Arabidopsis thaliana: one gene and its partner. The protein of the gene in region 1 interacts with the protein of each later gene in a pairwise test. Each region holds a gene or a part of one and is shown on either strand. Other genes may lie near its edges.

What was found.
Region 2: the proteins of AT1G34570 (region 1) and PLA2A interact in a two-hybrid assay, tested with the Arabidopsis thaliana proteins (one large-scale study listed by BioGRID).

Annotation. Positions count from the first base shown.
Region 1 is NC_003070.9:12,654,277-12,658,347, reverse strand, and holds AT1G34570 (Essential protein Yae1, N-terminal), read left to right. Parts: upstream 1-1,742; 5' UTR 1,743-1,903; coding exon 1,904-1,919; intron 1,920-2,052; coding exon 2,053-2,112; intron 2,113-2,313; coding exon 2,314-2,435; intron 2,436-2,529; coding exon 2,530-2,651; intron 2,652-2,744; coding exon 2,745-3,051; 3' UTR 3,052-3,421; downstream 3,422-4,071. Other genes in the region: AT1G34575 (FAD-binding Berberine family protein), read left to right, coding at 1-1,199; AT1G34560 (hypothetical protein (DUF1184)), read right to left, coding at 3,671-4,030.
Region 2 is NC_003071.7:11,292,879-11,297,474, reverse strand, and holds PLA2A (phospholipase A 2A), read left to right. Parts: upstream 1-1,556; 5' UTR 1,557-1,766; coding exon 1,767-1,904; intron 1,905-1,987; coding exon 1,988-2,356; intron 2,357-2,442; coding exon 2,443-2,604; intron 2,605-2,832; coding exon 2,833-3,135; intron 3,136-3,215; coding exon 3,216-3,388; intron 3,389-3,484; coding exon 3,485-3,563; 3' UTR 3,564-3,773; downstream 3,774-4,596. Other genes in the region: HO2 (heme oxygenase 2), read left to right, coding at 4,049-4,523. UniProt on the Arabidopsis thaliana protein: Possesses non-specific lipolytic acyl hydrolase (LAH) activity.

The DNA of each region.
Region 1 (4,071 bases):
TGTTTAATCTACGTGCAATTGAGATCGATCCAAAACTAGATACCGCGTGGGTACAATCCGGTGCAACCCTAGGAGAGATCTACTACAACGTTGCCAATAAAAGCAACAACCTCCGTGGTTTCCCCGCTGGAATCTGTCCCGGTCTCGGTGCTGGTGGGCATTTTAGCGGTGGAGGTTACGGAAACATGATGAGGAAATACGGTTTATCGATTGATAACATTATAGACGCTAAGATTGTTGATGCTAACGCAAGAGTCTTGGACCGGAGTTCCATGGGAGAAGATCTTTTCTGGGCCTTACGAGGCGGTGGAGCCGCTAGCTTCTGTGTTGTCTTAGCTTGGAAGATCAAGCTAGTTCCTGTCCCGGAGAAAGTTACAGTCTTTAACGTTGAAACAATCGGAAACAGAGGAGTAATCCCTACCGATCTTGCAGCGAAATGGCAAGAGATCGCCGACAAGATCGATAACGATTTGTTCATAAGATTAACGTTGAGCTCAAGTAACAAGACGGTCAAGGCTTCTTTCATGGGAATGTACTTAGGAAACTCCGAGAAGCTTCTAGAGATTATGAACGCCAAATTCCCGGAACTCGGTCTGAACAAAACAGAGTGCATAGAAATGAAATGGATCGAATCAGTTCTGTTCTGGCTTAGTATCCCACCGGGTACAGCACCAACATCGGTCATGCTAAACCGAATCCCACAAAAGCAAATCTACCTTAAAAGAAAATCCGATTACGTGCAGAAACCGATCTCAAAACCCGGTCTAGAATCGATATTCAAGATTCTTTCAGAGAACGAGAACGTGTCGATGGCTTGGAACCCATACGGCGGGAGAATGAGCGAGATTCCGGCGACAGAGACGGCGTTTCCTCACCGAGCAGGGAACATGTTTAAGATTCAGTACTCATCTAACTGGTTCGTGCCAGGTGAAGAAGCGGCTAGCGATTGCTTGAGCCAAACGGAAAGAGTGTTCGAGGCAATGAGCCCTTACGTGTCTAAGAATCCAAGAGAAGCGTTTTTGAACTACAGAGATATTGACATTGGGAAGAACTTGAACTCAACGTACGAGGAAGGTAAAGTGTATGGAGTTAAGTATTTTAAGAATAACTTCGAGAGGTTGGTTCAGGTTAAGACTAGAGTTGATCCGGACAACATTTTCCGGTACGAGCAGAGCATTCCAGTGCACGTTAGCCGTTAGAGACATTCTTATTATTTGTGTCTTGTATTAGTAATGTTAAATAATATAATCTTGTGGGAGAGGAGATAATTAGTACTTTTTTTTGTAACATCAATTAAATGTTATTTAAATTTGTATCTTTTGTTGTTATTAGAGATAAATGTAATATTCTTGTTTAATTAAATCTGAAAATATAAGTGTCAAAAAGGAAACAATGTATTGTTAATTTTGCTCTTTTTTAAATTTATTTATTTAAAATCCAAAAATTAAAAATAAAATCCAAAAATTATGATTGTAGATAATTATGAAAATGCCCATTAGACCATTACAATATATTTGCCAAAATTATAAATAGATTTTGATTTTTATTTGGAAGAAGAATTTGTTGGATTTGAAGTTTTAAAATTAACTCAAAGCATGATTGGTTTATGTTTATTAGACTATTAACAAATCTAATCTTTTGACTTAGATTTGCTAAGTGCGTTGACCCAACCAAAAAACAAAAACAAAAAAATCTGCTAAGTGGGCTGAACTTGGGCCTCATAACTCACTAAACGACAAAACAAAAATTAGGAATTGTCTTTTTCGAAGAAAAAAATCGGAAACCTGTGTATGTGACCTTTGTGGTTGTGGGCATCGACGATCGTCATCTTCCTTCTGGTTCTTTCTGTTCTCTCAAAACCATTTGGTCAAACCATTATCTCGAAGTCGTCTCTGTAGAACTAATGGAGCCGCCTGAAGGTTCTTTTACTACGATACTATTTGTGATTTCATAAGTTTCATAAATCACCCACCAAGTGTTCGATGATATTCCCCACTCAAATTTAATGACTTGAAAGCTTTGTTTATGTTGATGATTGTCAATGATATACAGATGGGAAGGTTAATTTCGCCAAAGAGCTTTATGGAGAAAGTTTGCAGATTTCGAAACTTAGTGAGGACTCTTTACTTTCATAGGTCATAAACTTAGTGACAATTGACAAAGTTTTTGCTTTTCTGATTAGAACTCTTACAAATTTGTTTCTGATAGTTTAGTTGAGGTCTTTTGTTTGCTCAGATTGTTTAGGCTTAGAGCATTGTATTGCTAAGTTTTTGCTTTCCATGTCTCTCTGATAAGAACTATCTTTTGGTTTAGGTAATAAAGATCATGGTCTTGAGAATTTAGATGATCCCTTTTACGGAAGTTCAGATGAAGATTATAGTGAAGCTCGCGTGTTGGACAATGAGAATGAGCAGAGACGTGTGAAATTCCACTCGGTATTCTTTTTTGCTTTATCATTCTCTCAGTGTAAAATGTTTGTTCAATTTTCTCCATGTCTGTTTTTTTTTTAATGGTAAATCGAAATCGTAGGCTGGATATCGTGATGGGATTGTTGTCGGGAAAGAAGCTATTGCGCAGGAAGGTTATAACTTTGGCTATAAGGAATCAGTTCTTGCTGGTTACAAGTTTGGTATTGTTAGAGGTGTTTCTAGGTAATTACAAGTCTGTTGCGATGTGTTACATATCCGATGAAGCTTATCGAGTAGTAGTAAGTTATACATTTTCTGTTTTGACTCTTTTTGAAGTGCGCTGGCTTTCCTCCCGGTTGAGTTTAGAGAAAAGCTTATCGATGAACAAGAAACTAGAGAGAAGTTTCAGAAATTACACAGTTCTGTGCATGCTCTTTCGACGGAAGTCGCAATGAAGCAGTTCTATGAAACTTTGACTACGAAACAAGGGGAAGAGAAGAGTGGAGAAGAAGGGCCCGACTCTTGTTCTGTTTCAGGTTCTTGTTCAGGTGTTAATGTCACAGCCGACTTAGGAAGCTATGTTACTGAGCTAAGTTCTCTTCTTGACAAATCTCCAACGATTGAAGTGAAATTTGATACATAGACGAGGCTTGTTCAGTAGACGTTATTCACAAGCAAAAGCAAGATTAGCGTCCAGTTTCCAAAAACTGTTTGTAAGCTCGGTTCTGCCTCAGCGAGTAGCGACGGCTAAATCATGCTTTCTGCCTCGGCAATTTCATTCAACCTTCTCTACCAATTGTAGCCGCACTCGCCGAGCTAAGAAATTACTCTGTTAATTTGGGTTGACAAACCAACAAAGTACTTTGTCAGCAAGATTATGGCTAGTTATTTGTTAATGTTATAAAATGGACTAATCAATAAAGATTTTGAATTAAAATAAATTGTAACAAAGGCATTCCATATATGCAAGCTTTATCTCGATGCAATGCAAATCATTGGAATAACTTACCAAGAAACATTATCAGACGTGATCTTATCCGATCTAGAGTTTGACAGAACTTAAAGAAGTCTTTTAAGTCACTTGATACAACAATCTTCTTCTACTCATAACTACTGTCTTTGAAGTATTTATTTAGAAAGAAAAAACAACTCTGGCACAAAATGTTTGATTTCTCGTCGAGCAAATGTTAAAGCGGATTCATATGCCTAAAGAAGTAAGATGTCGAGAGCAAGTTTCGAGACTTGCTTCGTTCAAAAGAGGCCTAAAACAGCTCAAGAACTTTAGTCTTACTAGGGTGTATCATTTCTGGTGTTGCTTCAAACAGAGACTTCCACAAGTGAAAAATGCTAGACTCTATAGCTTCTCTCGCAAACCCATTCGCCTCCGATACATCCTTGACAGATCTCAAATGCTCCTCTAGCTTCTTAAGCTCTTGGTTGTAGTGTTTAAAACCAGACGGTTTCACTAAGCCACCGATTTCAAGAATTGAAACAATGCGAGCCAAAACTCTGACTCCAAAAGAAAATTGATAGGAAAACGTTTTGAACTGTTCCCATTGGCTCGACTTGCCACCATCCTTATAGACTCCATTCTTGGGTTTGATATATGTTTCAAACACATACTGAATAACATAAAACACTCTTCCTACCACGGGACCGTCAA
Region 2 (4,596 bases), on another chromosome or scaffold:
ATAATTACAAGTACAACTCTTGATTTTATATTGGGATACAGGGATAATAGTATAGGTTTGATTGGTGATTATCAACCGCAGTTTTTTTTCTTGTCATCATTTCAACTGCAATTTGGGATCCAAAAAACAACCAATTGTAAATACTTCACATTGGTGGGTGAGAATAAAAGTGTCAACTTCATTTTCCATCTCTTTATCTATCTAATCAAAGAATTCTATCAACTCAATGATGAAGAAACTTCAACTTTGCATGTCTTGAGAAAAAAAGATATTCCAGCATATCAATGTCGAATCATGTGATTTGAAAGGATAAAAGTATATTGCTCACAAAATTTCTAAGTGTTTTCGCGGAAAATAATAATAATATATGCGATTCTATTCTTTTCTTTGTCAATTGTTCCAAAAATACATTACGAAATTTTACGGTAGAGCACCACAAAAAAAAACGATATTGCTCAATAAAACATTCACATCAAGAAGTTATTGCTCAATAAAAAAAAATTGTTTTGTAATAAAAAAAACTTTTCTTTTAATATATTTTTATTTTTGTAACTGTGAGGTTCAACCATAAATTTTTTTTTTATTAAAACCAATAAATATAGCTTAAATCTCTTTCAAACTTTTTTACATATGTGACTAACCATCAGTGACAATTCGAATTTAATATTACTCACGGTCTAGCAGATGTGTTATAAATTTTGAAATCAATTATAATTTTACAAATTATATCAAACTTGGACTTTGAGTATGTCTCTATTTGCCTTAAATGATCAAATATTACATAAACAAAAAAACTTGAAATTAAGGTTATTAATAAATAATTTAATATTTATTTTTGAATTTTGGTGGATTTAGAAAGAATAAAAGTATTTTTTCTGGGAAAATATGCATATTTATATTATTTGAATTGAGTATAGTAAACTAAGGGTGTTAAATGAAAAACAAATTGTTGTATGTACAAATTGACTTCATTTGGTCAATGAAAGAAAGTTGCAGTGTTGGGGGATAAGTATTGAGCGGCGGCTAAAATACTAAAGATTTTCTAATATTGCCATAAAAGATATTTTTTGTAACTTTCTATTTGTCACGGCACTGATTTTTTCAAAACTCCCATGACACAGCTGTCTTTACCCCATAATATATTGAACGTAAAGTAACTTCTTTGACCAATTGACCATGCTTAGTTGCTTACGTTGTTTATACAAAAGATTCATTGTTGGAAGTATAAGTAGCAGTAATATTACATCGTAGGTTGTTTTCTCTCATTAACATCGTCTCTAGGTGACTAGAAGAACGATCCTTTGTGTGTGAACTCGTGAGCAGAATCTAAACGAAAATTATATAAAGCTTAGAATTCATTAGAAAAAAGTGACATACCAAGAAACCCGAAAATGGGGAAGTTAATTTCATTTGAACAAAAAAAAACATTGTAGTTTTGTAATAAAAGGGTTGACATGGTCTTAATGTGGAAGAAGTAAAGAGGCTCACGAAAAGTCCATGTTGTCTACAAAGGAAGAAACAAGAACCAATAGAATTAGAGTTCAAACCAAAGGACGAAGTATGCAAGTTAATTTGACAAGCTAATATCCTAAGAATGAAGACATGGTCTAACTTTGAAACAGCAGCCACTAGTGTCCTATAAATACATAGAGTTCATTAACCTCTCATAATATCTCACAATCAAAGTTCTATCTCCTCAAGTATCAATACATTGATATCCATTAAAAAAAAGAAATATCAATACATTGCTTTGCTTGTTCTGTAAGATGCAAATGGACAGCCCCAAATCTCCTCTCCAGCCCCCGACCTATGGAAACTTAGTTACAATCCTCAGCATCGACGGTGGTGGCATTAGAGGGCTAATCCCTGCCGTTATCCTTGGTTTTCTCGAGTCCGAACTCCAGGTATATATGTGCTACCTAACTATACAAATATTATGTTTGTAAAATTATATTTTCTTAACTCATATATATACATGGATGCATAGAAATTGGATGGAGAAGAAGCAAGGCTTGCAGACTACTTTGATGTAATAGCGGGAACAAGCACCGGTGGTCTAGTGACAGCCATGCTCACCGCGCCTAATAAGGAAGGCCGACCCTTATTTGCAGCGTCTGAAATTAAAGATTTCTATCTTGAGCAATGTCCGAAGATCTTCCCTCAAGATCATTTCCCATTCTCAGCCGCCAAAAAACTCGTGAAGTCCTTGACTGGTCCTAAATATGACGGTAAATACCTTCATCAGCTTATCCACGCTAAGTTGGGTGATACAAAGTTGAGTCAAACACTTACCAACGTTGTCATTCCAACGTTCGATATCAAGCATCTTCAACCTACTATCTTTAGTAGTTATGAGGTTTGTTTATAGCTTGTTCTATTTGTGAAATTACAATATAATAATTAACAAAACTTTGGTTTAATATATATATGACTATTTTATAGGTAAAAAACCATCCTCTCAAGGACGCAACCCTCGCAGACATTGCCATCTCAACTTCAGCTGCCCCTACATACTTGCCTGCCCATTTCTTCAAAGTTGAAGATTTAAACGGAAACGCTAAAGAATACAATCTTATTGATGGTGGAGTTGCAGCTAACAACCCGGTAAATTTCTAAATATTGGATTTATCATTTATGTAGCAATAGGGTTTTTATACGAAGAATATAATATATCAACAATTATTATGGACTTAAATTGAATAATTATAACATGAACACACAATGTTAGACTATATTTCATTTTTTACTATGGAATTTCTTATAATAATCGATACGAGTTTTCTGTAAAAATCTTGAATAGATCATGATATAGTTGTTATATGTCAAGTATAGGCTTTGTTGGCCATTGGGGAAGTAACAAATGAGATCTCAGGAGGAAGCAGTGACTTTTTCCCAATAAGACCAAATGATTACGGAAGGTTTCTTGTGCTTTCGCTTGGAACCGGAAATCATAAAGCCGAAGAGAAATTCAATGCAAAAGAAGTAGCTGGTTGGGGACTATTGAATTGGTTAACACACGACAACTCTACACCTATCATTGATGCTTTCTCGCAAGCTAGCTCCGACATGGTTGATTTCCATCTCTCTGCCGTTTTTCGAGCTCTTCATTCCGAAGCCAACTATATTCGCATCCAGGTATCAAAATCAGCTAGCGCACTAACCATTTCTTTTTCTTTGTCTCCACAATTCCTAAGATTTGGGTATTAATTATATAGGATGACACATTAACTGGGGATGCTGCTTCTGTTGATATCGCTACCGTCGAGAATCTGGACATTCTTGCCAAGACAGGAGATGAACTACTTAAAAAACCTGTTGCAAGAGTCAACCTAGACTCGGGTTGTAACGAAAATGCTTATGAAACGACTAATGAACATGCTCTTATAAAGTAAGTGGCCCAATTTTTGCATTTTATAGCTTTATTCTTTCATACTTAAGGTGATTAAAAGTATTTTGCTAATATATTTAAATTTTGGTTGTGAAGGTTAGCAGGAATACTTTCAAAAGAAAAGAAGATCCGAGACATTCGTTCACCTCATGCAAAAGCTCCAATTAGGATCTAAAGAGATCAATTATTGTATCTTGTATATTGTTGATGATTCGTTTGTTTCACTAATGCACGTTTGGATTTATATTAATAAAAAGGTTGCACCACATTGTGGTCACTTGTACGTTTGAATAAAGTCAATAAATATTTAATGGATGGAAATGCTCTAAAATGTTTGGTCATTTTTCAACATACATTATACTAATAGAATAATGGCGAATAATACATAGACACGTACGTACTGAAACCAAAGTTATCTCAACTAATCTAATTATCTAAGCCTTTTTTTTATGGCTTATCAACTAATCTAAGCATAATGTAAATATAAAAAAAACTATTTATTTTTTACATCTGCCCTATTTAGGCTAGTTATGAAATAATTAATGGCATGACATGTAAATAATAACAAAATTAAGGGTGTTTGGTTTTCCAATGTTTGTCGATTAGGCTGAAAGCGAGAAATCAAAGTGAAGGCAGCGTCTATCTTGGTCGTCGGAATCCATGGCTTCTCTTCTCAGGCCAACTCCATTACTCTCTACACCTCGTAAGCTCACTCACTCTCATCTTCACACATCTATCTCTTTCCCATTCCAAATCTCAACTCAGAGAAAGCCACAAAAGCATCTTCTCAATCTATGTCGTTCGACACCAACACCGTCACAACAAAAGGCCTCACAGAGGAAGAGAACAAGGTACAGGAAACAATACCCAGGAGAAAACATTGGTATAACTGAGGAAATGAGATTCGTCGCCATGAGATTACGCAATGTTAATGGTAAAAAATTAGATCTTTCTGAAGATAAAACTGACACCGAGAAGGAAGAAGAAGAAGAAGAAGAAGACGATGATGATGATGATGAAGTAAAGGAAGAGACTTGGAAGCCTAGCAAAGAAGGGTTTCTTAAGTACTTAGTTGATAGCAAGCTTGTCTTCGATACTATTGAACGAATTGTTGACGAATCTGAGAATGTGTCTTGTAAGAACCCTACTTTGGTCTCGAATTTGACAGTTTGGTAATGATTTGGGTTAATGGGGTTTGTGTTCAATGT